Linked DNA regions of Ovis aries. The protein of the gene in region 1 purifies or fractionates together with the protein of each later gene. This does not show direct contact. Links are inferred from orthologs where the notes say so. Each region holds a gene or a part of one and is shown in the gene's direction. Other genes may lie near its edges.

Region 1 (7,138 bases):
ATACTCCTAGCAGTCATCTCCCCTCAAGCTTCATTTAGTTCTTTTTATGTATTCCTGCTGTCACTGCACATAATACATGGTGTTATCTCTGCTGCTATTTCTTCTGTTCCCCATGTACAAAAAAGGCAGGGGATGTCCTCAAAGCTCAGTGGCGAAATGTGGCACCCAGGGTGGGGAAGGGATCAGTGAACATTTTCTGAATGATGGAGTGGGTAGGGGAACTGAACTGAGTAGGGTCTAAGTGGGGAGAGTGTTTTGACCTTTACTAGGGTGCTGTGGAATCTATTGCCATGAAGAACCCCAAAGAGAGGACAGCTCTTTTTGAAGAGATCAGTCGCTCTGGGGAGCTGGCCCAGGAATATGACAAGCGAAAAAAGGAAATGGTAAAAGCTGAAGAGGACACACAGTTTAATTACCATCGCAAAAAAAACATTGCAGCTGAACGGAAGGAGGCCAAACAAGAAAAAGAAGAGGTAGGTGGCCAGGTTGCCTCTGGGATCTGAGAGGCCAGGATGAAGCCAGGGCCTCACTGATGCACCCCTGTCTCCACACCTCTATTTGCACAGGCTGACCGCTACCAGCGCCTGAAGGATGAGGTGGTGCGAGCTCAGGTACAGTTGCAGCTTTTCAAACTTTATCATAACGAAGTGGAAATTGAGAAGCTCAACAAAGAACTGGCCTCTAAGAACAAGGAAATAGAGAAGGACAAGAAGCGGATGGACAAGGTAGAGGATGAGCTGAAGGAGAAGAAGAAGGAGCTGGGCAAAATGATGCGGGAACAACAGCAGATTGAGAAGGAGATCAAGTAAGTGGCAGGACTGAGCCTGCAACTTGTGGAAAGCATCTTCCCCTTGACTTGGCTTTGGCTAGAATCAGGCACATTTCTTGACTTGCATGTTAGACAGATAGTATTTAAGTACTCAGACTCCATGTAGATAGGTACTCGGAAAAGGAGAACTTGAAAAGGGTGGTGGCTTTGCCAAAAAGAAGTGATGGGAAGCCATTCGTGACTAATAGTCCCTTCCTTGAAGAGGAAAACTGGAGCTTCAAGGTCAAAGAACAGAAATTTGAAAAGGTTAGATCAGATGGGGAACAGTTATGTGAACACAGGGTACTCTTGGGAGTTGTTACCGAGAGGTCTGGCCTGGCTAAGGTTGAGGCAGGGGTGGTAGCTTTACCTTCTAGAGTGGCTGGAATGCCAGGCTGAAGCCATCACAGGATCTGTGGGGCATCGGCCCTGTTCTTTTAGGCACTTCCCTGAGGCTTGGAAGGGAAGCGCCTAATCCCCCTTTGGATTAAAAAGCCTTGGAACCCTCCCTTCTCCCACTGAGCTAATTGGTTCCCCCTCCCCTCTGGTGAAAGGGAGAAGGACTCAGAGCTGAACCAGAAGCGGCCTCAGTACATCAAGGCCAAGGAAAATACTTCCCACAAAATCAAGAAGCTGGAAGCAGCCAAAAAGTCGCTACAGAATGCTCAGAAGCATTATAAGAAGCGTAAAGGTGACATGGATGAGCTGGAAAAGGAGATGCTGTCAGTGGAGAAAGCTCGGCAGGAGTTTGAGGAACGGATGGAAGAGGAAAGTCAGAGTCAGGGCAGAGATTTGACCTTGGAGGAGAATCAGGTAAGCTCTGAGGGGTGCGGGGATGGGCAAATAGATTGCGAGGCTGACAGGACTGATTTGGTTGCCCCTGTCCCTGACACAGGTGAAGAAATATCACCGGTTGAAAGAAGAAGCCAGCAAGAGAGCAGCTACCCTGGCCCAGGAGCTGGAGAAGTTTAATCGAGACCAGAAGGCTGACCAGGACCGGCTGGATCTGGAAGAACGGAAGAAAGTAGAGACAGAGGTGGGCATGCCTTACAAGATTAGGGGTGATGGTCCAGAGAAAAGGAAGTAACAGTAGTCTTAACAGTAATGACCATAGTTAACATCTAGCATGGGGCTTCTCTGGTGGCTCAGTGGTAAAGAATCTGCCTGCCAATGCAGGAGACACAGGTTTGGTCCCTGGGAACATTCTCCTGGAGAAGGAAATGGCAACCCATTCTAGTATTCTTGCCTGGGAAATTCCATGGACAGAGGAGCCTGGCGGGCTACAGTCCATGGGATCTCAAAAGAGTTGGACATAGCGACTAAACAACAAAAGGCAAGCTCTTACTGTGTGCTAGGCACTGTTTTTACATATATGCAGTCATCTTTTAAAATATTTATTTATTTGTCTGTTTTGTTTTTGGCTGTCCTGGTTTTTAGTTGCTGCTTGCAGGCTTTCTCTAGTTGCAGTGCTCAGACTTCTCATTGCAGTGGCTTCTCTTTTTGTGGCGCACAGGCTCTCGGGCCCACGGGCTTCAATAACTGTGGCTCTTGGGCTCCAGAAAGCTGGCTCAGTAGTTGTGGAACATAGGCTTACTTGCTCTGCAGCATGTGGGATCTTCTGGACCAGGGATCAAACCTCTGTCCCCTGCATTGGCAGGTGAATTCTTAACCATGGGACTACCAGGGAGGTCCCTGCCTAAGGTTATTAACTGGCAGAACTGGGATATGAACCTGGGCAGTGTAGCCCACACTTTTTTGGTTTTTTTTTGGCTGCACCTTGTGGCATGTGGAATCTTAGTTCTCTGACCAGGGGTTGAATCTGCACCCCCTGCAGTAGAAGGATAGAGTCCTAGCCACTGGACCACCAGGGAAGTCCCGGAAGCCCACACTTTCAAGTATATTTCACTTACCACCTTCCTAATAACAATCATAGTAAAATAATAGGAATGATGGAAAGTTGTTATAATATTCCAAGAGCCTACAATGTTCCAGGCATTGTGGTGCTGCTGCTGCTGCTGCTGCTAAGTCACTTCAGTCATGTCCGACTGTGTGCGGCCCCATAGACAGCAGCCCACAAGGCTCCACCGTCCCTGGGATTCTCCAGGCAAGAATACTGAAGTGGGTTGCCATTTCCTTCTCCAATGCATGAAAGTGAAAAGTGAAAGTGAAGTCATTCAGTCGTGTCCAACTCTTAGCGACCCCATGGACTGCAGCCCACCAGGCTCCTCCGTCCATGGGATTTTCCAGGCAAGAGTGCTGGAGTGGGTTGCCATTGCCTTCTCCGGGCGTTGTGCTAAGCAGTTTTAAATGTTTAAAAGAAGGTATTAGGCATTAATTAATAGCTAGGGGCTTCCCAGGTATGCTAGTAGTAAAGAATCCACCTGCCAATTCAGGAGATAAGCGTTCAATCCCTGGGTCGGAAAGATCCTCTGGAGTAGGAAATGGCAACGCATTCCAGTATTCTTGCCTGGCAAATTCCATGAACAGGAGCCTGGTACACTAGAGTCCATGGGGCCGCAAAGAGTAGGACATGACTGAGCAATTGAGTGCACACACACACAGAATTAGTGGCTAATACATGTTAAGCACTTAATGTGTATTCTATGAAGTGGAAGTTACCTGCATTTTATAGATGATAAAGCAGAAGTGCAGAAAGGCCCAGAAAGCTTTACTTTGTCTTGGTTTGAGCCTGCCTGCTTGGTGAGGAAGATGTTCCAGGCTGGGTAGAACACCTATGAGAGGGTCTCATAGGGCCCATGGTGGCCCCATCAGTTAGCAGAGGCACACTGAACACTGTTTATATCCGATTTTTAATAGGCCTCTTATACTAGTGACAGATTGTCTGTGATTGTTAGGCTGTTAGAATGATTAGGCATATGGGGGATGAGCCAGGACTCTATGGTCTTGGCCTTAACTTGCTCAGCCTATGGTGATGTAGTGTTTTTGTCTCTCTCCCAGGCCAAGATCAAGCAAAAGCTGCGGGAGATTGAAGAGAATCAGAAACGGATTGAGAAACTAGAGGAATACATCACAACCAGCAAGTATGTGGCTTTGTAACATTCCCTCTTATCTCCAGGCCTGTTCTTGTGAACCCTACCTGTCCTGCCCCTCCCCAGGAAGGACCCTCATCATCCCTCTCGGCCAGGAATATTTTCTGGCCAGCCAGGGTAACCCCAGTATTTCCTCACTTTGTAGGCAGTCTCTAGAGGAGCAGAAGAAACTAGAGGGGGAGCTGACAGAGGAGGTGGAGATGGCCAAGCGGCGTATTGATGAGATTAATAAGGAGCTGAACCAGGTAATGGAGCAGCTGGGGGATGCCCGCATCGACCGCCAAGAGAGCAGCCGCCAACAGCGAAAGGCAGAAATTATGGAAAGCATCAAGCGCCTGTACCCTGGTTCTGTGGTAAGAGTCGAAAGGGAATTCATTTCCTGACCACTGTCTTTCATACTCACTGTCAGATAATTTTCCCAGCAGCCCCATGAGGACAGATTGCTAATTCCATTTTTACACCTGGGGAAAACAGGGTCAGAGAGGTTGAATGACTTGCTCAAAACAGCATAGCTTATATGTATAAGAACTGCAATTCAAATCCAACTTGTTCTTACTCTTAACCTTGTGTTCTTTTCATTGCACCAGTTGTATCTTTCTGAAAGTTTTGTCTTGCTTGTGTCCACTCCTTTATGGGAGGTGGAGAAAGTGAAGAGGCCTTTGGGAAAGGGAAGGGGCTGCAGGGCAGGAATTAGTTCCCAGGATGTATCAGTAGCTTTGTGCAGGCTTCAGTGTGAGCTCCTTAAGCATATAACAGTCAGCTCATTTACTAGGTTCTTTTGGCCTCTTGAATGAAATCCTGAGTTTCCAGATTCCCTGAATATTATCCCTCTATTGCTGTAATTCCATCCCTGGGTTCAACTTAATTGGGTTCTACAAATATTTCTTGATCATTTCCGTAGATCAGGGGTCCCCAACCTCCAGGATCTAATGCCTGATGATCTGAGGTGGAGCTGATGTAATAATAATAGAAATAAAATGCACAATAAATGTAATGTGGGATGATTCAAGCGCGTTGCATTTATTGTGCTCTTTATTTGTGGAACCAAATTAAGTTGCATAATGCCTGTGGTGCCAGTGGTCTATGAAATGGTAAAAGTGAGGTTTAGAAAGATGATTCTGGATTCAGACATGACTGCCTGAAGTTGTTGTTGCTTTGGGGCCAGTGAAGTGAAGTCGCTCAGTCATGTCCGACTCTTTGCGACCCCATGGACTGTAGCCTACCAGGCTCCTCTGTCCATGGGATTTTCCAGGCAATAGTCCTGGAGTGAATTGCCATTTCCTTCTCCAGGGGATCTTCCCAACCCAGGGATCAAACCCGGGTCTCCCTCTTTGTAGACAGACGCTTTACCATCTGAGCCACCAGGGAAGTCCAGAGTAGGCCTTTTCCCCATAGTTTGGGAGCTGTGCTCCTGATAGAGATTCTGACCTGCTATCCCCCTTCTAAGCTAGGAGTTAGGGTTCCTGAGCCAGCTCTCAAAAACTTCATGCTTCATTCACTCTTCTGACTTTCCTTAGTACGGCCGCCTCATTGACCTCTGCCAGCCCACACAAAAGAAGTATCAGATTGCAGTAACCAAGGTTTTGGGCAAGAACATGGATGCTATAATTGTGGACTCAGAGAAGACAGGCCGGGACTGCATTCAGTATATCAAGGAGCAGCGTGGGGAGCCTGAAACCTTCTTGCCTCTTGATTACCTGGAGGTGAGGCTGGTGGTGATGGGGTCAGGGCAGTGTGAGAGGGCTGCTCCTCCTAGCCCTCCATGTTCAGCCACTTAACTAAGCTTTTTCTCATAGGTAAAACCTACAGATGAGAAACTCCGGGAGCTGAAGGGGGCAAAGCTGGTGATTGATGTGATTCGCTATGAGCCACCTCACATCAAAAAGGCCCTGCAGTATGCTTGTGGCAATGCCCTTGTCTGTGACAATGTGGAGGATGCCCGCCGCATTGCCTTTGGAGGCCACCAGCGCCACAAGGTATGGATTCCCTTGCCACATTGTAGCTGGATAGGCTTAGTATTGGCGATTCCTTTGTTCAGCTTCTCTCCCCTCCTCTCTTTTCCCTGCTGTATTTAGACAGTGGCACTGGATGGGACCCTGTTCCAGAAGTCAGGGGTGATCTCTGGCGGGGCCAGTGACCTGAAGGCCAAGGCCCGACGCTGGGATGAGAAAGCAGTAGACAAGTTGAAAGAGAAAAAGGAGCGGTTGACAGAAGAGCTGAAGGTAAGCCACAGGCAGGGCTGTCCCTAGGAATGGGAGTCCTAAGCCCAGGCCAGCCGGCCACCTTCTTACCACCTAGCCTTTCCCTCTTGTCCACTTCAGGAGCAGATGAAGGCAAAGCGAAAAGAGGCAGAACTACGTCAGGTGCAGTCTCAGGCCCACGGACTGCAGATGCGGCTCAAGTACTCACAGAGTGACCTAGAACAGACCAAGACACGGCATCTGGCCCTTAATCTGCAGGTGGGACCTGGCTTTCAGCCCTGTTGGGCCATGGCCAATGGCCATCCTCATATTCCTGCTCTACGCTCAGTTCTAGGGGTGGGGAAGTTGTCCCTCTTCCCTCTTTCCTCCCAGTCTGTTCCTGGAAACCAGGAATAGATGGCATTGAGTTAGACAGTCAGGGGTTTAGGACTTGGCTCTATATTAGGCAAGTTACTAAACCTCTCAATGTTCAAATCCTTTGATCATTTTTATATTGGTTTGTAAGAGTTTTTTGAAAAATATATTCCAGAAATGTCTTTTTCAAATGCATGTATTGCAGATACTCAAAGAACATTCTTGTTTTTGTAAACCTCTCAGTGTCCATTTTTTCATCTTAATCTGTAAATAATCTGTAGAAGGATAGGGTCCTTGCACAGATTGAATGAGTTAATACATGTGAAGTATTTAGACTGATTGCTTGTACCAAGTGAATGTTCAGTAAATGTTAGGTGCTATTAACCTAATTAATTCATTCAGCAAATATTTGAGTTGCTTCTGAGTTTTGAAAGTGAGCTACAGATATTTCAGTCCCTGTGAGTGGAGGTACTTTTCTAGCTATATTAATGTGTTTGATTATGGGTGCTTCCCCAGACCACTCTGGAGGTGTTATGTAATATGTATGTCATTTTTCTAAAATCAAAAAGTCTAAATTCCAAGACACACCTGGCCCCAGGGGTTACAGATGAGGAAAGTGTCGACCTGTAAATAACAATGTTTATTGTGTGCCCAGCCTTTTGGATTGAACCTGACAGACTGGAGGCCAGGGAAGGAAGCCATATGATGGTTCAAGTGAGAGATGA
Region 2 (7,138 bases), on another chromosome or scaffold:
CTATAATAGCTCTGAACTTACAGAAGGAGGGTAATAATTGTATCTACCTACCCGAGGTTGTTGCAGTAAAAGAATTAAGTGTGTATGTTAATATATTTTAAGTTATATATGATACATATTTTAAATAATATTTTAATTCTAAAAAAGATTTTAAAATATCATTTGTATATTATATATAATATAGATTATGTACAATATATAGAAGGAGTTAATATACATATGTAAAGCCTGAAATAATGCTTGGCATATAGTAGTAAGCATTAGTCCTTATTTTTATTGTAAATGAATTTTACTAGCTGCTTTCTGCTGTTTATTTATACCTATTTTCCCAGATCTATATGTAGCTTCCTTCATTTCACACTCTCTGCCCAGCGTTCTTGACACTGGGCTAATGATATCACCTCAGTGTGTATAAAGTTTCCAAGTATGTCTCCAGTCTTGGTTCTAGCTTATTAACAGCAACTTCTTACTAAAAAGTCTGTTTAGTTGTTGATATCTCTGCCCTGGTACTCTGGCCTCTAGCCTGTCCAACGTTACACCACAGTGGGTTAACCTTCCTCAGATTTTTGTTTTGTAAAAATAATCCCAAACTCCAAATCTGTGTGATTTCTTGTCTTTGGATGTATGTCCAAAGTCCTTAGTATCAAAGGCCCTCTACAGCCTGACTCAAGTTTATCTGTGTTTTAACTTCTTGTTTTGGAGAATTTCAAACAGAGATAAGAGTAGACAATAATATGATAAGCCCCAGTGTACATGCAGCTTGAATGTGATCATCAAACATTGGCCAGTCATGTTACCATGTATATATAACCTTATCCATTCTGCCCTCTATATTATTTTGGAGCAGATTACAGATTTCATATAGTTCCATCCATAAATACTTGAGAAAAGAGGACTCTTTAAAAAATATATTAAAAAAAATAAAATGAAAAAAAAAAGTAATTATTGAGGAAAAAAATAAAAATAAAAAATATAACCAAAATAGCATTTTCATCTCTTAAAAATTAGCAATTGCTTCATATTATAAGTCCAGTCAGTATTCAGTTTTTCCCATAATCCCAAATTTCTAATAGTCTCTACTTCCCAATATTCTTGTTTTAGTCTGTAGGCTTTCCCTCCATCCTGTATTTGTGAATTCTGTGTCATACTTAATACCTTTAAGGTATGTGTTCTAGTTGTTCTATTACTATGTTTTACTTTCTCACCAAAGAATATTTGTGCAAGTTAAATTTGTATCTTATTTTTAAAATGTCTCCGATATGCTTAATGACTCCTGACAAATGCGTTCTAAAACATTAGGAACCTTTTGTGATTAGGAACTTGTGTCAGTAGACATTAGAATTGGATGTTTGTGAAAGACCACTCCTCAGACTTTCTGAAGCTTTCAGCAGAATGCTGATAAATGCAAGGATGGTATATTGAGTAATTAAACAATACACCCTTACTGTCTCTTCTCACCTCCCAACAGATTTAGTTCAGTGCTACTTAGGCAGTTAACAGTAACAGCATGGTAATCCTGGTGAACATCCCCAAACATCTGAACACATTATTTTAGGTTAGACACGAATACCTTCCTAATTAGAGAGTTTTTTTTAAGAAGCATCTAGAGGGGAATTAGACATAGTAGTTTTAAGGATTTTGCATGGTATACATAAAGAATCAACTCACAATTTGTGTATTTCATCATTATCTCATAGATATTAAGTTAATGGACTCAGTGATTTAAAGAGTCTCAGAAATACTAGAACCACTTAAAGATTACATTTCTTTGTTACTTTGGGTAGTATCTTATGAATCCTTAGATGTAGCTAATACCCTTGCATGACTGCCAGAAGACAAACATGTCAGTTAAATGACCTCATGTTTTTAAAAATGTTCTAATGTTTATGAAGTATTTAGTATCTGTTTATACAGTTATTATGTAATAGTAATATAAATAATATCCTCTACCTGCTGAGAGTTCACATTCTAAAGGACAAACATCTAAATGAAATTCAGAAGTGTCCAGTGCTGGCTTTTAATGGTTTTACCTTGGGTGAGGTGGGGTAGTAGGTTTGTTATGTTGGAGAGATTGGAAAAATTGGGGACAGCTGTTGGTAGTATAAACTTTTACATCGAGTTTATAATTTTCACTTTGCTTAGAAAAATTTATATTAACAAGTTTTCCCAAAATAAAATTTAGCACCTAATGTGATATCAGACATGTTTGATACATGATTAAATAGTTCACATAACATCTGAGTAGAAAAAGATTAATTTGACAGCCTTTATGACAGATTTAAAGCATTAAGGTCCAAGTCAGTAGAAGTTCTTAATATAACTATTTTTGTTGAGCGTAATAGTCTATATTTTGTCTTCTCTTAAGAGCATTACAACATTGTGAAGAGCTGATTAAGCAGTATAACCGTGCTGAGAACAGTATATGCTTACCTGACAGTAAGCCTCTGCCTCAGCAGAATGTAACTAACCACGTGGGCAAAGCAGTGGAAGACTGCATGAGAGCCATCATTGGGGTGCTGCTCAACTTAACCAATGACAATGGTAAGCCACGCTTCTGCATATATTCTCATTAATAGACTGTACAGTGTCACATGCAAAAATAAGCCAATCCCCTTGTTTCTTCTCTCAGTGTAGTGGTTTTTAAATTGCTGTCACGTAACTCACTTATTCATGTATAGATTTAACTGCTTTTAAGAGCTGATATTTTTAGAACCTGCCTTGTGGCTTGGCTTAGAAATATTACAGTCAACAATATATTTTAATAAAGAAATGACTATTCTTTTTTAAGCTATGTGTTTTTAACTTTTAATATTCGTGTTAATAGTTGGTCACAATTTCACACTTTGCCCATTCCCCACTTCAGAATGGGGCAGCACCAAAACAGGAGAGCAGGATGGCTTGATTGGCACAGCCATGAACTGCGTGCTTCAGGTTCCAAAGTACCTACCTCAGGAGCAGAGATTCGATATTCGAGTGCTGGTGAGTCTAAGTGGCTTGTTGCTTACATGCATACTTGATCTAGTAAGATGATGCAAACGACGTCTTTGATTGGGAAGGTGATCATTTTATATACTGGGTTTAACCGTGTAGATGGTCGAGCACTGGCTTGCTTTCTGGCTGCCATGAAGGGTTACGCATATTGTGTTCATTTGCTTTTAATCCTCACCTGTGGTAACATGCATGTTTTCATTTTTGTAGGGTTTAGGTCTACTGATAAATCTAGTGGAATATAGTGCTCGAAATCGGCACTGTCTTGTCAACATGGAAACATCATGTTCTTTTGATTCTTCCTTCTGTAGTGGAGAAGGAGATGATAGTTTAAGGATAGCTGGACAAGTTCATGCAGTTCAGGCTTTAGTGCAGGTAAGCAACAGTTTAACCATAACCCTTTGTTCGTTGCATCTGTCCAAGTTCTTGATCACTTGCATCTTCTGTCTCCCTTCAGCCTCCTCTCTCCCTCTGATATTTTTACCAGTTCAGTGAGAGGTTAGAATGTGTACCATTACTTCATTTACTCCGCTGTTTTCAGCTATGACAGTCACTCATTAGACACTGTTAGCAAAAAGCAGAAACAAGGCCCATTTGTTTATGAATCAAAGATAGATCATTAACAACAAATTAGGTATTAACTTCTAGCCTTAGTCCTCTAGCATTTACTGGTCTGATCTGTGCCCAGGACTGTGTGCATCTGAATACTGGGACATACTTTTCAAAGTATGTATATCTTTGGAGTAATTTCCTAACTTGTTAGAATGTGTACTAATATGTTAAAACTGATGTCCCCAACTCACCCCACCCCAAACACTCCCTTTCCTCTTGTTTATACTTCCTCCCAAAACTATATGTGAGTTTTTGGGGTTTTTTCGACAATGCTGGCATTACAGTTTTTATCTTTTTGCAAGCTACTTTTGTCATTTCCTTAAGTGACAGTAATAATGAACCATCCTTTTCAATTTTTCTGAAATTTTAGCTAACCTTTAATCCTTTTGGTCTTTTTGAAACTAGAAGTGCTTGTGAACTGTGTTTTCAGGAAATAATCTGCAACTAGATGCCTGTCAGTCTCTTTTCAAACATTTTGATCTCAGGACTTCTTTATACTCTTTTTTTTTTTTTTTTTTTGGCCCGCCCCCCTTTATACTCTTAACAATTACTGGGGACTCCAAAGAGCTTTGTTTATGTGTGCTTTATCTGTTGATATTTACTAAATTAGAAGTCAAACTGAAAAAACTATAAAATACATTTACTTTCTTAAGGGTATTAGAGTTTACATACCATTCTTCTGTATATTTCAGCAAGTTTTTGAGATCTACTTGGCATTTAGTTTTCTGATAGCTGTCATCAGTAATTTAGGGTTTCTCCAGATCACATCAGCAAATATATGAAATGCTTTCTGTATATTCAACTTTGTGCCAGCACAGGGAAATAAGTAAGTGAAGGCAAGAGTTTTTAGTATGTTTCCTTTTTAGACTTTTTTGGTATATACTTCCATTGACAATTGTACTTGGATTTTTTTAATTGAAATGTTGTTGATCTGCAGTGTTAATTTCTGCTGCACAGCAAAGTGACTCAGCTATACATATGCATTCTTCTTCATATTCTTTTCCCTTATGGCTTATCCCATCACAGTGAATTTAGTTCCCTGTGCTGTGGAGTAGGACCTTGTATCCATCCATTCTGTATGTAATAGTTTGCACCTGTTAACCCCAAACTCCTAGTCCTTCCCTCTCCCATCCCCCTCCCTGTAGGCAACAAGTCTGTATATCAGTGTCATCTTTGCACAGGGACCATGCTAATATTCTCTGTTATATGTGTTGCTGAAGCAAGCACTATACTTTTATTGTTAATATAGCAGTTGAGATTTAGTTCTGCCTTTCTCTGAGAACTTGTTTTCTACTTTCTTTGTTTTTTATTTCTTTAAATTTCTTTTAAAGAAGCCATTTGTTTTCCCCAAATATTGTGAAACTTTATCCAGTGTCCTCTCTTCCTTCCAGTTAATTTATCCAGGCTGCTTGGATTTAAAGAATTTTTAACTGTTTTAATTTTAACTTTTAATTTGTAATTTTTGCTTGAACTTCCTGCCCGTTATTATCCAAATTAAAGGAAAGTGTTGAGATTTTCATTCTTAAAAATAGAATGCATGCATCATCAGTAGATAATTTACTTAATTGAATCCCAGCAGCATTTATAGTTTTGTTTTGTCTTCAGTTGGATGTAGAGCTAGGGCTTTTACTGATGTGTAGCCTTTTTACCAGACAGTATGCTTCTTAGGGTTAATGATGTTTAAAAGCAAATGGAGCCTTATATTTGGGTACATTGATGTTGGTAGGTGATCCCTTTTTAATGACCTTCAAAAATGTTTATCAGCTGTTCCTTGAGCGAGAACGAGCAGCACAGTTGGCAGAAAGTAAAACAGATGAATTGATCAAAGATGCGCCCACCACTCAGCATGATAAGAGTGGAGAGTGGCAAGAAACAAGTGGAGAAATACAGTGGGTATCAACCGAGAAGACTGATGGTGCAGAAGAGAAAAACAAGAAGGAGGAGGATGATGAAGAACTCGACCTCAATAAAGGTATGTTTTCTTTGACTGCTTTATTTTTTAAAAGATGTGTGTGTGTGTTTTTTCCCCTGTAAAACATTTTTTTACTTCATGTGTGGTCATAATCTTGCTGTTTTATGGCCTCTCTGGTTGAGTGCACACAGGCTTTGCTGTTTGGTAGCAGTCTTCACCTAGCGGTGAGAGTGGCGTGTATGTACTGTTGGAAGGTCTGTGTTTCCTCCCTGGGCCTCTCTTTACTGTCTGTGAAGAGAAGCAACCAAGTAACATGACTCCTAAGGGTGTTTACAGTTTTGATATTTTGCCCATATTTTAAATTGGGTTATCTTTTGTTGTTATTGAGTAGAATTTTTAGAGCCTCGATTCTTATCAAGTACCTGGTTTGCAGATAAATTCTATGAGTTGTCTTCTTGAAGGTGAAGCTTTAGATTTGATAAAGTCTAACTTACCTATTTTTTATATTGTCTTTTGTGGTCCTGGTGGTGTGTCTAAGAAACCATTTCCTAACCCAAGGGCACAAATATTTAGTCCTCTGTTTTCTTCTAAGGGTTTTATGGTTTTAGCTTTTATATTAAGCTCCCTCTACCATTTGTGGGTTTTGTTTTTGTTTTTGTTTTTTTTTTTGGTTAATTTGTGTGGATATTACATCTTCCTAGCACCATTATCCAGAGAAAGCGATGGCACCCAACTCCAGTATTCTTTCTTGGAAAATCCCATGGGCGGAGGAGCCTGGTAGGCTGTAGTCCATGGGGTTGCAAAGAGTCGGACACGACTGAGCGACTTCACTTTCACTTTTCACTTTCATGCATTGGAGAAGGAAATGGAAACTCACTCCAGTGTTCTTGCCTAGAGAATCCCAGGGATGGGGGAGCCTAGTGGGCTCCCGTCTATGGGGTCGCACAGAGTCGGACATGACTGAAGTGACTTAGCAGCAGCAGCAGCAGCAGCACCATTATCAACGTTTAGCAGTTTTGAAGTAAAGATGACACAGTTGCTGGTTTCCTAGGTGCTTTTGTTGTTGTAGTTTTTGGTTTATATATATATGCACATGCACTATTAGTTTTCTGTTTTAATACTTTCAGCCCTTCAACATGCTGGCAAACACATGGAGGATTGCATTGTGGCCTCATACACCGCACTGCTTCTTGGGTGTCTCTGCCAGGAGAGTCCAGTAAGTAAGAGTTCTGTGTTGTTTTATGTTATCCTATAAGAATTTCACTGCAGCCACTTCACATCGTTACTTAATTAACTTGTTACTTTATTTTTCCCTCCTGTTAAAAACTTTCAAATATTTGGTGAACTTTAGAAGGTACATTTCAAAGTAAGAGTATATTGGTTTCGATGAGAAAGTTCCAGATTGATAGAGGAATCAACTTATATGTCTTTGGTTGAAGTAAAAGCACCATATGAGACCTGTGCTCAGCTGGCTTAAGGTGGAAAAGGTTCGCCTCAGTGATACCAAGGACTCATAATTTCTACCTTTAAACTCTGCTCTCCTCTGCGTGTTGTCTTTTGCTAGCTTTCTTCATGCACCTATGCTGACTCTGTGTCTCACCTAGTTAAATAGTGCCCAGCAGAAGA
Region 3 (7,138 bases), on another chromosome or scaffold:
TGATGAATATGTTTAACTTTGTATCTTACAACCTCCACTTTTGAAATAAAATAGTTCTTTTATGATGTGTATGCATTATGCATTACCTAGTTAATATTTATGTCTTATTATATACACTGAGTGGTAAAATTAGGATTACTTAAATTGACTGTCAAATGCAGATGCACTATACTCAGTGTAGTTGTCTATTATTTAAGCATTGAATTTGGCTTTTTTTCTTTTTTTTTAGTAGACCAGATGGATTTTTTTTTAAGAAAATATATTGATTTTATTACTGAAACAGTATAGACATTTGTGAAATATTTGAAAGTAAGTTGCCAATTAAAACTTGGTAGAGACAGCAGATACTAATAAGAACTGCAATTCTTCATAATGAGTACTGAACTATGACTCCTTTTAAGTGTTGAATTTAGAATGTTCTTTTTAATGGACTAGCTCTTCATCAAAAATTTATCATCTATTCATCTACTGAGAGGTTTCATCTGAGGCTCTTTAGCTAGAGTAAGAATAAAAATTTACCCTCTTACCCCCAGATTATGTTTTATATTAGAAAATTGTTAATAAAAGCAAGTAGGTAGTTATGGTTCCGACATGCTTAAAACCTCTAGACCTTATTAGGTACATTCTTATAACTGAAGTAGATAACAGATTTTGTTCATTTGTTTATTCTTGAACATATACACACACACACACACACACAAATAATGTATACTAAGTTTTATATTTGAAATCGTGGCTTTTATTCCTAGTCTGAATTGGACAAACCTAGAAGCCGGAAAAAGACACCTGTAACAGATTCAGAAGAGAAATTAGGCATGGATGACCTTTCCAAGTTGGTACAGGAACAGAAACCTAAAGGCAGTCAGCGTGGACGAAAGAGAGGCCATACAGCTTCAGAGTCAGACGAACAGCAGTGGCCTGAGGAAAAGAGGCTCAAAGAAGATATACTAGAAAATGAGGATGAACAGAACAGTCCACCAAAAAAAGGTAAACGAGGCCGACCACCAAAACCTCTTGGTGGGGGTACACCCAAAGAAGAGCCAACGATGAAAACATCCAAAAAAGGAAGCAAAAAAAAATCTGGACCTTCAACAGCAGAAGAGGAGGAGGAAGAAGAAAGACAAAGTGGAAACACAGAGCAGAAGTCAAAAAGTAAACAGCACCGGCCTTCAAGGAGAGCACAGCAGAGGTAAGTGTGTGCCACTCTGAACTGCATGCATTCAGTTATTGTACTGTAAATCATAACTTGATGCTGTCTGCATCTGGGTCTTTCCCAAAGCAGAGCAGAGTCTCCAGAAACTAGTGCAGTTGAATCCACACAGTCCACACCACAGAAAGGACGAGGAAGACCATCAAAAACACCATCACCATCACAACCCCCCAAAAATGTGTAAGTTGTAAATAATATTAAGTTTCAAACCAGTTTCAAATTATTTTGCAAGAGTTCATAAATTTCTAAGTATAACAATACATAGTGAAAGTGTTCGTTGCTCAGTCGTGTCCAGCTCTTCGTTACCCCTTGGACTGTAGCCCACCAGGCTCCCTTGTCCATTCTCCAAGGAAGAATTCTCCAGGCAAGAATCCTGGAGTGGGTTGCCATTCCCTTCTCCAGGAGATCTTCCTGACCTAAGAATCGAACGAGATCTCCTACACTGCAGGCAGATTCTTTACTGTCTGAGCCACCCATATATTTAGCCCATTATACTAGGTAAGATAAAATTTTTGTAAACTTACCTAGGTGATTAATATCCCAATCATCCTTTGGCGACATTTGTACATTTTTATAGGCTTTAGAGAAATGGTTATAAACAAATACCAAATAGTTGATTATTTCCAGTACACACTTTATGGTACCTAAAGAGACGATGGCGTATCTTTAAATAATCACGCATAGATCACATTTTCTTGTTACTCCACACCACAGGTTTTCCATCTTTCCTCAGCAGCTTTAAAAAAATAGCTTATACACTTTTGCTTTCATTCTTTGATCAGTGTAGGAAAGTAACAGGCATCATTTTTCCTAAGTACGTTGGTGGAAATTATCACATAGTGATCTCAAGCTTTTGATGTCTTGATATTGTTTTCTAAGTAAATTAACACATCTGTATCTACATATAGATAGTTTTGGATGTTCACACAAGTACATGTTTATAGGAGAGTTATAGTAACAAATCTGTGTCCAAAATTATTAAAGTGGCAGGGGCATCAATGTTGTAATTTATAAATTTGGCACTTTTTTCCTCATTTAAAGCAAAAACAGAGTAGCATGTTGTCTGTCAGAAATTTTACAGTTTTTCTGAAAGTAATCTCATACTTCAGTGGCTTGACTTTTCAGTTGCCAGCACACCTTGGTTAAACACTCAGTTCATAGTTTCCTGTTCCTGTGTATTCCATGGGAAAAGTTACTGAGTGTCTAGCCAGTACTTCCCACCTTTTTCCATTTAATTTTTCCTTCACGTAAAAAGTAAAGGTAAGTACATTTTTTCGGCAGCTTTATAAATGTGTTTGTATGCAACCATGGAAAAATAACTTAAAAAAAATTCCTAAGATAGCCTAAATTTCAATGATTAACTTTATAACAAAATAACAGGGTAAATATCTTTCATGCTTATAACTTTAATTTATATTGGGGCATCATAAAATTAAGGGCTTATATGATTATCATTTTGTCTTGTAAAATTACACAAGTCCTCCTCATGGGAATGTTTTTAATGAAGCAAGTATTTTCTGTTAAAAAAATCAACACACAGAGAGAGAGAGTCTATGTCCTATCTTAACAGCCTAACTTCTTTTTACTGGAAGGCCCCTCTTTAGAGGTAGTATGATCACATATGTTACTATTTGCTTGTTTTCTTGTTCTGATCTTAGTGGAATTGAGCAAGATTATATTATTTTCCCTGTATTTTCTTCTGTTAATTCTGAAAAACTAAATCAAGTAAATTTGAGAAAATTGGTTTGAGTACAGATTAAACAGTATGTATATTCAGTTGCTTATAGAAATGATGAGGAAATTCTAAATTAAATACCAACAGATATATACGTTTAATTAAATGGTGGTATCTGTTACATATTTTTGAGTATCTTCTATGTGTCAGAGAGTACTAGGTGCTAAGGAATATAGTGACAGAAAACAGACATCCTTATAGTGCTTAGCATCTAAAAGGGAATGTAGTTATTAAATAATCACACATGAATGTGAAATAATAAGTTGTGAAATGTACCTTGGAGGACAAAGTTAGGGTGCTGTAAGAGAGTGTAATGAGAGGGCTGGGGAACTGGGGAAGTTTTCTCTTTGGAAAGTTGATTCCTTGAGAACAAGTTGATTCCTCAAGTTGATTCCTTGAGAACAGTAGGACTTAGACTTCTAGAGAGTAGGGAGAGGAACATTTCAAGTGGAGGGGACATTGTTTTGGAAGGTGCTGAAGTGGGAACAATCTTGACAAATTCAGAGAGCCGAAGGAAGGCAAAGTTTTTGCTGTATTGCAGTTTCAGGGAATTGGGGTATAGAAAGAGATGAGAACTGAAAGTAGGCAAGGCCAGTCTAAAGGTCCTTATGTACTTATCAAGGAGGTTAATGCAGTTACTCTCAGTACAGTAGGGGCCTCTCTCAGGGGCATGACATCAGCTGTTTTACATTTTTAAAAGATTACTTAGAGGCAAGAGATGAGAATGGTTTAGAAATATGTATGATGTAACAGTGAAGATGGAGAGAGTGAATGGATTTGATATTTCTTTACAAGTAGAATCTTTGGGTCAGACAAAGAATTGCACACTATTAAGGAAGACTCTAAATTTTCTGGTTTCAGCAACTCAGTAGACATAGATGCCTTTTACAGACTTGGGAAAGGAAGAGTAGACTTTGGGTTATATATTAAAATCCTTTATGGCGTTGGTTTCAGTCACCCTGACTTTTGTTATTTGTTAGATCTTTTTATATGTAACAATCTAGGGTTAAGTACTGGTTTAGGGTTTAGAATGTAAGAAAAATATTTCTTGGCTTACACGGTAATTGAGGGTAAAAATGATAATAAAGGACAGTCTATTAAGTAATTAAAGCATTTCCTCTTATGAAGTAAAGTAGAAAGTGAAGTTGCTCATTCATTTCCGACTCTTCGTGACCCCATGGAGTCCATGGGAATTCTCCAGGCCAGAATACTGGGGGGGCGGGGGGGTAGCCATTTCCTTCTCCAGGGGATCTTCCCAACCCAGGAATTGAACCCAGGTCTCCTGCATTCATTCATCTTTACCGTCTGAGCCACCAAGGAAGCTCAAGAATTCTGGAGTGGGTAGCCTGTCCCTTCGCCAGGGGATCTTCCCAACCCAGGAATCAAACCCCTGATTCTCCTGCCTTGCAGGCAGATTCTTAACCAGCTGAGTGGTATACCAGGGAAGGCCTCTTATGAAGGTAAACTACCACTTAAAGATCACAATGTTCATTTTATTTTACCTGTGTTTTACTCTAGCCGTGTAGGACGCTCTAAACAAGCAGCTACTAAAGAAAATGACTCAAGTGAAGAAATAGATGTGTTTCAGGGTAGCTCTCCTGTCAATGATGAAAATCCACAGGAAGAAACAGAAGAAGATGAAGTCTCTACAGTAAATGTATGTGTTTTTTAAAGTTCCATGTGTGATAGTATGGAGTATATTCAGTAGAATTAGAGTTGATAAGTGGTCAGATTCTTTTAGCACTTGCTGTTACTTAATAATTCTGAATATTTATGTATATATTTTTTCATTTGTTTGTAGTGTGTTAGTTCATCTATCAGCTTAGATTGTGGAGAAAATATCATTTATGAAAACCTGAAACCAAGTGAGAATAATAGACATAGCCTAGTGAAAGTGTAAATGTCCAGTGTACAACTGAATACAGAGAAGAGCAAGTGATAGTCTCAGGACGACACCACATGCACTTAAGTTTTCCCAGTATCTGTTACATATACTCTTGGTGATATTTCGTATAAGTTTTTTGTTTGAGTTTCTCAGTAGCAACTAGAATTTAGTCAGTCATGTAGAATAAAGTCATGTCTTCAAATAAAATTAGCGTTTGGAATTCATAAAAATTGGCAATAGACCTTTCTTTCACAAAAGTAGGAATGTGATGCCTCCCAAGATACTTTTTAAAATAATGAATGGCTGCCTGTCACAGCTCCGATTTTTCTCTTTGGAAGAAATATAATTGATGCGTCTAAGTAAGAGCTGTGTATTGCTAATATTCTTGCTGAATCTGTGGATCAGCTCAGCTAGTTTCAGTTTTTTGTTTGAGAAACGTGTGTCCTGTGATCAAGCCCCAGAGTTGACCCCTGCCTCTCTGTCTTATTTAATATAATCAGCACCTCTGTCTGCATCAGGATTCATTTATCTGAATTAGTTGAAGACCAGAGGAAAAAAATATGTTGAATTATGGTCTCAAACTAGTTTGGCTTATAAAGGGTTTTTATGGGGGGAAGGTATAAAAATAAGGCTGATGTGTACATAGTAACTGATGGCTTCATTAAAGGAAAACTAAACTATAAGTTAATTACATTAAAATCCTGTTCTGTTTGTGTTCCTCTTCATAATACTAAACTTATTTTATCTGAAATTTTATGTTTTCATTAGTACTTGCCACATTTTTTATATCTTTTTGATAGTTATTATGATCCAAACTCAATAAGTAACTTCTGAGAAAGGTAGCTATACGCCTAAGTTCATAAATACCAGATGTTTTCCTTTATTAAAGACACATAAATAACATGGTGATGTTTGTCATTGTTTTTTGCCATTGACATTGACTTCTGTTCATTTCTCTTTAAAATTATTAAACAGAAAAGTAAAATATTTTCTCTTTTGCTAATCCTGGGAAAGGCTATTTATAAGCATTCATGTATGTGATGCTAAGGCTGAAAGTTAATGTAGGAGAAAGATTTTAAGAAAGGACTATCAGGAACGTGTTAAGAATAATAATTGGTTATAAAACAATGGTAATTACACCTGTTGATGTTTCTTTCAAGGTGCGGCGGCGAGGTTCTAAAAGAGAAAGGCGATGAACAGATGCCGTTAATAACTTTCTGTGTGAGAGCTTTGAAAAAAATGGTTATCAAGCTTCAGGCTGAGTAAAGCCTTTGATGCACAAAATGGGACTGCTGAAGAGTGGACAGTTGGACCTTACTCTGATGACCTCATGTGTCTGTGGTCACACGCTTTAGCCATGCGCATGGTGACAACATTGACTGTGGAGTCTTATGAAAGAGTCTAATGTGCGATGGCTATGTAGACATAAACTAAAGAAGAAACTTGTAAATATATTTTTCTTTTTTTTTAAATGTTTCTGACTTCTAAAGTGCTTGTATAGCTTTTATCTGTGGCTTTAAACTGACAGTGCCCAGCTGTTTATTGGATCTATTGATTTGAAAAGAGTTTGTTAGGATAGATCTTAAGCAGTAATCTGTCAGTGTTTGTATTTGTATTCTCTGCAATTTACTGTGAAAAAAATTTTTTTTCAACAAATGGTGTCATTTTCTTGATGTCACTGTTTGTTGGAGAGTTGAAATGCTCTCTTTCCCATACGTCTGTTAGCTGGTGTTTACTCCCAGGCATCCTTAATCTGCAGAGGTGCTAAGTGGTCTGCCATCACACCTGAATCATGCCTCTGATGGGAGGACGCCACACAAATGGTGAAACAGTCCTGAAGTTGTTTGATTATTTTACACCTCAGTATTGGTCCCAGAATTTTCTGGCCTGTCATGGCAACGAAAATTTTAAAAAGAGAGAGATTTAAAATATTTTAATTTTAAAGAGTGTGTTAATAAAATAATGTACTGAATTCTTTATCCCGTTTTATCATCCCTTTTCAGTTTTTATTAATCTACTGTATCAATAAAATTCTGTAATTTGAATTAGTTTCTGATAGTCTAGAATGTTATTGTGTATAGATACTTCCTCTTGAACATTATGTTCAGAAAATGCAAATTATTACACTATAATATAAAATCTGATATATACACATTAGAAATGTTTCAGTTCTCCATAACAGTATAAAGTTAATCAGAAAGAAAAAAATTTTATTGATGCAGTGTGTCTTTATAAAGCTGTTCTTGAAAGCAAGTGTTTTGTATTTTATAGTGAGTTGCATGTTTATGAAAAAAAAGTGCTGAAAATG
Region 4 (7,747 bases), on another chromosome or scaffold:
CAGATTAAAGGTTTATTGGGCTACCCTATAAACTAAGAAATGATAAATCAAGGATTTAGCAGTGAAACATACCACCACCATAAATCAACTGATTTTGGACATAAAAGTTTTAAACACTAAGATTATATTTGTAGAGTCTACATAAGAGCTCAACTTGGATACTTAAATTTAGGAAAACAAAACACTAGTTGATTTAATGGAGAAATATCCTGTTATGCATTGAAACAATTTCATTAGTTCTAAGATTTGGAAAAAAATTGTTATAAACTTTACAAGTTAAACCACTTAACGGCAGAGACCCTGTTTTTAATTCACTAATGTTTAGGAGGTGCCTACTGTAAAAGCTAATTATAGCACCTAGTAAGTTCCTCTTAAGTAGTGAGGGAAGAAAAAAAATACCTAAAATTTTAAATTAAATGGTACAACAATGCCAAGACTTTTGTTACCTGAACATGCAAAATTTTCAGCTTAACAGTAACATTTAAGGAAGTATATAAGAAGATAATTTTGCTTCTCTAAGAAAACTGAAATATTAGTATTCTGAAAAGGAATGAAAAACACATTCTGAACCATCTGTATATTACTCAAAGCTGTGCTTAATAATGAACAAACTGTTGGATTTACTAGACAATGTCTACTTAATTGTATTAATGGTTATGAAATACTTATCAAGATTGTCTTTTCTTGTCCAAAATTTCCATACATGAAATAATTCCCAAAGGCTTATAGCATATATTTTAAAGTCTTGTTCATCCAACCACTAGTAAGTAAAAATTCTACATGTTTCAGTTTTCAAAAATCAATTTACCAGTTAACTTATTGGTATACGTGGTACTTATCATAATAAAGTAAGTAAATGAACAGCAAACTAAAAGGTGAATTAAAATATCCAAACTAAGCCTGACCTCAGCTTTCACTGAACCTTTTCTTCAGAATGAAACTGTAAAAATAAATCTAACTAGCGTTTGCTTTGCTTGACAGCATAATTTAGTAGTAACCAAAGTAGCCATATGTGGTCCTTTAAGCCTCAGAAACACAGCACCTTTTGAATCATTGTGCCGGGCGGAATATATTTTGTGCTCGATATGTACTTGCTGAATGAATTTCTACAGCAGTGCTGGATTTGGACTAAGCCAACCAAATTTTCACATACTTTAACTTAGTGAAAATAGCATGGTTTTCAAGAAAGAGTACAGAATGGATGAAGAATGCAGTTTGATTGAGGAAGAGAGGAAAGCAATATGAATATACTCATAATCCAATGGATCACATAATGTACTGTCCTCGAGCAAGCCCATTTATCTAAAAACATGTAACTATCACTCGTTTGTGGGCTTCTGGTGCTTCTAGGGGGCTTTCAATGTCTAGAAGTAGTGCCGTTTCCTAGAACTTTGTAATAAACTTGCACTTTCCCCCCCGGTTTTCTTTTGTTTTCACACACTTTTCATAAAAGTTCTCTGTAGCATATAAGTATATATACACGTAAGGAATAGAGTTCAGAAACGGGTGTATGTGTGGGGTGAGGTCAAGGCCCTTATAATCGTCGTTCATTCATTATCCAGCTATTAAGCAAATACTGTGTGTCAGGCAGTATTTTCTACACAAAACTCCAGTTTGGGGCGGCGAGGGGGGAGGACCTTGCCCTCCTGGAGCTTACATTATTCTATCGGTACAGATGAGATAAACAAGCATGATAAGTAGAATGCCTGCAGGATAAAAATGAGGAGGGAATCGGGAACGTCCAGTTTAAAGAGAGGCCACAGAGCCCCGAGGAGACAGCCGAGCAAAACCCTGAAAGTAAGAGAGAAACTCTGTGGCACTCGTGGAAGGAGCTTGGTAGAAGGCGGAGCAGACACCCTGCTGGCTCCGCAACCGAGGCGACTCCCCGCGCCCCACCGCGCGCAGCGCCTTCAGGCCGTGGTCAAGACTTCGGCTTTTACTCCCGGCTAAGCAAATGCCGGCTCGAGAGACGCGTAAGATCTGATTTAGTCCTTGTAGCGATCTCTGAAGCAAAAGGAATGGCCCGCGGGCAAATTTGCCTGTTTAACTTTCAGCGTACTGGTACACAGACAAATACAGTTCACATACAACTTAAGTAAACTCACGATAATATAACACAAATTTCGTCCCATTTGAATAAAATCCGCTTACCTAGGCACTTTTACCTGAAGAATAGCACCCTCTATATTTACAGAAGTAAATAGTAAACTTAATAGTGAACTGTATGATAAAGTTATTTCAGGTGTTTCAGTAAGAGACTACAGAAGGCTCGGTACTGTACACAGAATCGCATCTGTACTCCAGCCTTGGTCAGGACCTCTGTTTCGAGCGTAAAGAGGAAAACGATGTCTGAAATCGGCCCGGCCCGCAGTCCGCCGGCTCTCCCCGCGCGCTCGGCTCCACCCACACCTAGAATGGGGCGCGCTCCGGGCCCACCGCGGGCCGGCTCCTCGCTCGAACAGCGTCGCCTACAGGCCTTTATCCCGACTGCTAGGCAAGAGCCAAAACCACCATCAACAAAAAGCGAGCCCAGAAAAGACCACATATTTCCAGAAATAAATGCATTACAAACACGATTCCAATTCAATCCAGCTGAGAATCTTCGTCTCCTTCAAGGGTTGCGTCCTTACTCCGCAGAAATAATGCAGAGATGGGAGTAAAGTCCGGCCTCTCAAAAAGAGAGAAGAGTGTACAATACGATACATCCATCCACCCGGCTGCAGGGACACCATTTAAAAAATGCTCGGTCGCCGTCCGATCGCGGGCGTCCTCTACGTGGCCGCCCCGAGCTCGGCTCCCGAGAGCTAATGACGAGCAGCTGGGGCGGCGTGCGTGGTCTGCGAGCCGGTCCCGGCCTGAGCGCCCCCCACGCATACGACCACCACCGAGGCTCAGGCCCCGTTCCGGCCGGCCTCCAGGAAAATAAAGACCAGGAAGACCTGGCCCGCTCGTGCCACAGCGAAAACGCCGCTCCGCAGGATCGACACTAAAAGGCAACGTCCACAGCCGCCCCGACGAGAAGGGCGCGGAGGAGAGGCCCCCGCCGCCTCGCTGCCGGCCGCCTCCGGGCCTCGGGTGCGGTGCGGAGCTGAGCGGCACGGGCTGTGCAGTGCGGCGAGGCCGAAGACGCGAGCCCAAGTGGCGGCGGCGGCGCGGCGGTGGCGGAAGTGGAGTGGGGAAGAGGGGGTGGTTGTTAGTGTTTGGCGCCGGCGGAGGGAGTCATTCCTGCAGCTGCACTTCCGGTCGGCATTTTGTTCTGAGAGGGAGAGACGGAACGAGAGAGAGACACACACAGGGCTCCTTCCCCCCCCGCCCTCCCCCCCCTCCCTCCGTCGGTACCGACTCACCCGACACCACCAAGCCGCAGGGAGGGACGCCCCCGCCGACTGGAGGATTGGTTCCCGGGCCGGCGGCGATGCCCCCCCGGTAGCTCGGGCCCCTGGTCGGGTGTTTGTGAGTGTTTCTATGTGGGAGAAGGAGGAGGAGGAGGAAGAAGAAGCAGCGATTTGTCTTCTCGGCTGGTCTCCCCCCGGCTCTACATGTTCCCCGCACTGAGGAGACGGAAGAGGAGCCGTAGCCACCCCCCCTCCCGGCCCGGATTATAGTCTCTCGCCACAGCGGCCTCGGCCTCCCCTTGGATTCAGACGCCGATTCGCCCAGGTAAATTCCTGCTCTTTATTTCGGCGGCGGCGGCGGCGGCGGCGCCAGGTCCTCAGCGTCTCTCCTCCTCGCTCCCCTCCCCGCCGTTTCCTTAGCGGCCCCAGGTCTCCTCCACGGGCGAGTCTAGAGTTCGCTCCTCTCTGGTGGCAGCCGCCCTGGGTGGCGGTGGTTTTGTACCCTCTCCCGGCCGGCTCCGGTGGCGGGGACTGGGCTCCTGCCGGGCGGCCGGGGAGGCGTAGGCCCGGCGGAGAGTGCAGGCCGCGGGCCAGCGGAATCTACTTGAGCTCGGGGATTAGGAGAGCTCCGGGCTGAGCGGAGCTACTGCTGGTCGGTGACAGGCCTCGCCCGGGAGAAGAGCTGTAGCTAGTGAGGAGGCGGAAACAATACAACTAACAGCAAATGTGCCCTCTCCGTCCCCATATTTACAACTTTCCTGGTCCGGGAGTGGGGAACGTCCCAGTGAAACAAACAACCCCCCTTCTTCCCCCTGTGACCCCATGAAGGGAGGAAGTAGTTTCAGTTAGTGAGACAAATGTAAATACTCAGACACGGATCCAGTGGTAATTCTTTTCCTGTGTAGAACTTGTTTGGACGTTGGAAAGTTAATAAAGACTCATTTTCTTTTTAAGGAAAATTAAATCGTCCACATGAATATTTAATACAGAAAACTATAGTATAGTAGACACTGCATATGACCCCCCCACCCACGCAAAGCGCTTTTATGTTGTTGTTTGACAGTGTGTTGCACATGGACTTTTTATTCAGAGACAAGTGTAAAGTACTTGACAGGTTTACCCTGCCTCTTTATATTTGTGTGCGTTATATAAGGACAGTTTTAACTGATTATACGTGAAACACTCAGGTACTTCCTGATCTAAACGTGTAGAAGCTTAAAAAGGTTTTTAAATGTTCTGAGAATTGCGGTGAGATATAAGTACATCCAATTTCCTTTAAAAGGACAGAAATGAAGTTATGCTTAAAATCCCTGGGAGGTTAAAAAAAAATGTGAAAGGTGCCATCCTTTCATGTCAGGGCAGATCTTCTTGAGGTCCCAGGATTGTCATTGGCTGTTTGTGCCCATGATGTTTGACTGTGTAATGAGAGAGGTGTCATTTTAATAGGTCAAATGTATCTGTAAATGCTGGAGAAAAATATCAATTTTATCTTAAATTCTAGCTCACAAGTAAGTTAAGTGCTTGGAGCTTGTTTGTGGAGGCGTTGATAATGTAGGTTGGTATAAGGGAAAAGCCAGTTTAAAAGTGCTCAGCCATACAAGTTGCATAGAAAAATAATTGTTCCTGGGTTAGACTGTTTTGATACTTTGTCTCATATTCACTGAAGGAAAACTTTCATTGGTTAAAATGAAGCAACACCGATCAACAAAGTCCCTTGTTTTATTGGTGAGTGTTACGTTGGTTCAAATTTTTTGCCTCTCATTAAATTATTATGTCATCGTAGAACAAGTAACTTTTCTGGAGGTGATTTTTGAGTTTAGCCTTTTGCTTAAAGTAAATTCTTCCACGTTTCCTGCAAACGTATGGATAAATGTTAGAAAGAGTGAAGTTAATATAGCTGTCACGTACTAGGCATGTTTTTAATGCTATAAATCCGTGTAGTAGTCAGTAGCGTGTCCGTGATTTGTATTGGTCAGGGAGCAGTTTGAATTTTAAAAAGCCTGAAGCTCCTGCTGAGCCCCAATCCCGGCCTCCCTCCCTCCCACTAATCTCCCATTCCTGTCTTTGTGCTGCCTGCTCCTGTTAGACACTGTTTGCTACAGGGCCTCAGGCCTACACTGGGTGGGGGGCACGCAAATGGGGACTGGGAAAGGGTTTGGGGCTGGGGGCGGAGAGGAGAATACGGAAGGTAGGAACAGTTCATTTCTTAAGCGGAGGATTTGAGGGTGAGGGGGCGGGGTAAGGGCTTCAATATTAATGTTGAAAAAGGCCCTGATAAGAACCTGTGATTGTCTTTACAACTTTATTTAAATAAACTACTGAGGTGTATGTCAAGGGATGAACATCCTTCAGTTAAAGGTAATGGAAAGTGGAGTTCTGCTTGCTTAGTTTTCATCAACAGGAAAAACTTATCTTTGGCGTTTTATAGTTATAAAGGGAGCTTTCTTACACATGTTTGTTTGAATCAGTATGTCATATGTCTGTGTGATTGATTTTTTTGTTGTGACTTTGGCATTATAGTGAATTAGTTCTTATTAGACCTTATTTTCCTAATTCTACATATTTGGTAATCCGTAAGTAATACAGGTTGTATGATACCTTTCATTCAGCTAGCATAAATACTACTTTTAAGTAGGTTGGAAATATTTTGTTTGGTCCAAACCAGGTAAATAGGTTATTTTTAAAGGAGAAGATATTGCGAAACTTCAGTAAAACCTAAACTTGAACTTTACATCCTTGATAACTTAGTTGGAAAGAATAATTTGTTTCCCTAGAGATTATGAATAGTCTGCTCTACTCCCCTGTATTGGTTGGAATACTCACCAGGGCTAATCTTGTATTTCTTTTTCTTTTTTTTAAATTCAGTGGAAGGAAACAGCTCCAAGTATTCCACAGATCTTACAGTGCTAGTTATATTATTTGGGTAAATACTTTATGGTATACCTAGAGGAAATTTCAGCAGTATGATTTATTGTTTCTTTTGAGTCTTCGAAGTTACTAGTAACTTACAATAATTACTTGAAAATAGTTTTGAAGTATGTCATGAAAGTCTAGTAAATTAAAGTTGAATAGTAAATAATTACTTCTAGTATTTTGAGATGAGTATATTGGATGTTTCCTTTTGAAAGCCATTCAACAAATTTGTTTACTGTAGTTCGAAAGCTTTTTGAACCTGTGCTAGGGATCATTATAGTACTATCCACCTTTAGGAAGAAAAGACTTGTATTTGAAGAAATTTCAATTTCTCTTTGGGGATGAAAAGTGAGAGTTTTTAGTATGGTAGTAAACTTAGTTTTGGTTTTCTGCATAATAATCACTATTGAATCTCAAAAATAATATGAGCAAAAGCTGTACCAATTCAGACGTGAACCTTTCTTTCTTTGGAGCCACGATACCCAACTTAAGCATGTATTTTCTAAGACTTCCTTAACTAATTTCATATTTAATTTTTTGGTGACCAGTTCACTATCAGACTGCTGTCTAAACATTTGAATACATCTGCGTTATATTTTGGTATGATCTATGGTAGTATTTTTACTCTCCCAAAATAAGATGTAAACATTAATAATAAAAAGTAGATAAAAACTAAAGAGTTTCAGTTTTACACAGTTTCATTTAAATTTCCCCACTCCGTTGCTTATTAGGAAAAGCATACTTTGTAAGTAATTCTGAAATTTTTAAGATGATGTAAGATTTCAGTTTTATATAAAGTGATTGAGAAGGCTGAGTTAAATAAAAATTCTTTTCATACATGTGTAACTTCAGTTCTGTTTATCATGTTTATTTGCTATAAAATAAATAGGAAATTACTGACCAGGAGCTAGTAACTAAGTGGTTAGTTGACATGTTTATTTTAATATCCTAAGATACTAAGTTGGCTTTGGTGGTAATGTATGGTCTCATATAGCTTTTAAAAATCATTTTAAAATATGCTTTTTGAAGGAAGTTCTTTTTCTATTTTTAGCAGTTGTCAGTAATTATTCTTCCTATTTTTACATTGGTTCTTTTTCAAGGTGACCTGAGTTCATTCATAAATATTCTCATTCCCCTGCAAGATGAATGATCAGTGTGATTTCAACTTTTTGATGAAAAAACTCAGGCCACGTGATTTGTGTAGATTCACTTAGTGACTCAGTGGGAGATTAGGGTATTTCTCTGACTCTTAATAGTTTCTTATTAGATTATGTTGCTTTAAGTAATGTGTGAGCTTTGGTCATGAAGCTAGGTATTGCTCCGTGCTGACACTGATACCATCTGTGATTTTTTTTTTTTCCCGATTATCTGAGTCCAAGGTGCTTTTCTCATCTCCATAGAGAGATATGATACCTATCTTTTGGTTGTATTTTCCTGGTATGAAAATAGTACTTTTCTGTTAGATATCTTCCCTTTGTGTATATATGTTGGCTGTTTGA

The links.
Region 2: the proteins of SMC1A (region 1) and WAPL purify together in Homo sapiens (affinity purification with mass spectrometry; 7 studies listed by BioGRID and IntAct, with this or other methods). This does not show direct contact. The link is inferred for Ovis aries from reciprocal best matches to the Homo sapiens genes SMC1A and WAPL.
Region 3: the proteins of SMC1A (region 1) and PDS5B purify together in Homo sapiens (affinity purification with western blotting; 8 studies listed by BioGRID and IntAct, with this or other methods). This does not show direct contact. The link is inferred for Ovis aries from reciprocal best matches to the Homo sapiens genes SMC1A and PDS5B.
Region 4: the proteins of SMC1A (region 1) and NIPBL purify together in Homo sapiens (affinity purification with mass spectrometry; 3 studies listed by BioGRID and IntAct, with this or other methods). This does not show direct contact. The link is inferred for Ovis aries from reciprocal best matches to the Homo sapiens genes SMC1A and NIPBL.

The regions. Positions count from the first base shown.
Region 1 is NC_056080.1:51,280,026-51,287,163, reverse strand, and holds part of SMC1A (structural maintenance of chromosomes protein 1A), read left to right. Parts: intron 1-269; coding exon 270-473; intron 474-566; coding exon 567-805; intron 806-1,362; coding exon 1,363-1,621; intron 1,622-1,703; coding exon 1,704-1,844; intron 1,845-3,766; coding exon 3,767-3,849; intron 3,850-4,003; coding exon 4,004-4,211; intron 4,212-5,375; coding exon 5,376-5,561; intron 5,562-5,654; coding exon 5,655-5,834; intron 5,835-5,933; coding exon 5,934-6,080; intron 6,081-6,179; coding exon 6,180-6,317; intron 6,318-7,138. UniProt on the Homo sapiens protein: Involved in chromosome cohesion during cell cycle and in DNA repair. Central component of cohesin complex. The cohesin complex is required for the cohesion of sister chromatids after DNA replication.
Region 2 is NC_056078.1:40,194,149-40,201,286, reverse strand, and holds part of WAPL (wings apart-like protein homolog), read left to right. Parts: intron 1-2,365; coding exon 2,366-2,541; intron 2,542-2,863; coding exon 2,864-2,979; intron 2,980-3,198; coding exon 3,199-3,363; intron 3,364-5,364; coding exon 5,365-5,572; intron 5,573-6,639; coding exon 6,640-6,728; intron 6,729-7,138. UniProt on the Homo sapiens protein: Regulator of sister chromatid cohesion in mitosis which negatively regulates cohesin association with chromatin. Involved in both sister chromatid cohesion during interphase and sister-chromatid resolution during early stages of mitosis.
Region 3 is NC_056063.1:28,614,134-28,621,271, reverse strand, and holds part of PDS5B (sister chromatid cohesion protein PDS5 homolog B), read left to right. Parts: intron 1-749; coding exon 750-1,189; intron 1,190-1,279; coding exon 1,280-1,390; coding exon of another isoform or gene 1,391-1,394; intron 1,395-4,463; coding exon 4,464-4,602; intron 4,603-5,990; coding exon 5,991-6,026; 3' UTR 6,027-7,138. UniProt on the Homo sapiens protein: Regulator of sister chromatid cohesion in mitosis which may stabilize cohesin complex association with chromatin. May couple sister chromatid cohesion during mitosis to DNA replication.
Region 4 is NC_056069.1:37,517,460-37,525,206, reverse strand, and holds the start of NIPBL (nipped-B-like protein), read left to right. Parts: upstream 1-3,248; 5' UTR 3,249-3,660; intron 3,661-7,747. UniProt on the Homo sapiens protein: Plays an important role in the loading of the cohesin complex on to DNA. Forms a heterodimeric complex (also known as cohesin loading complex) with MAU2/SCC4 which mediates the loading of the cohesin complex onto chromatin.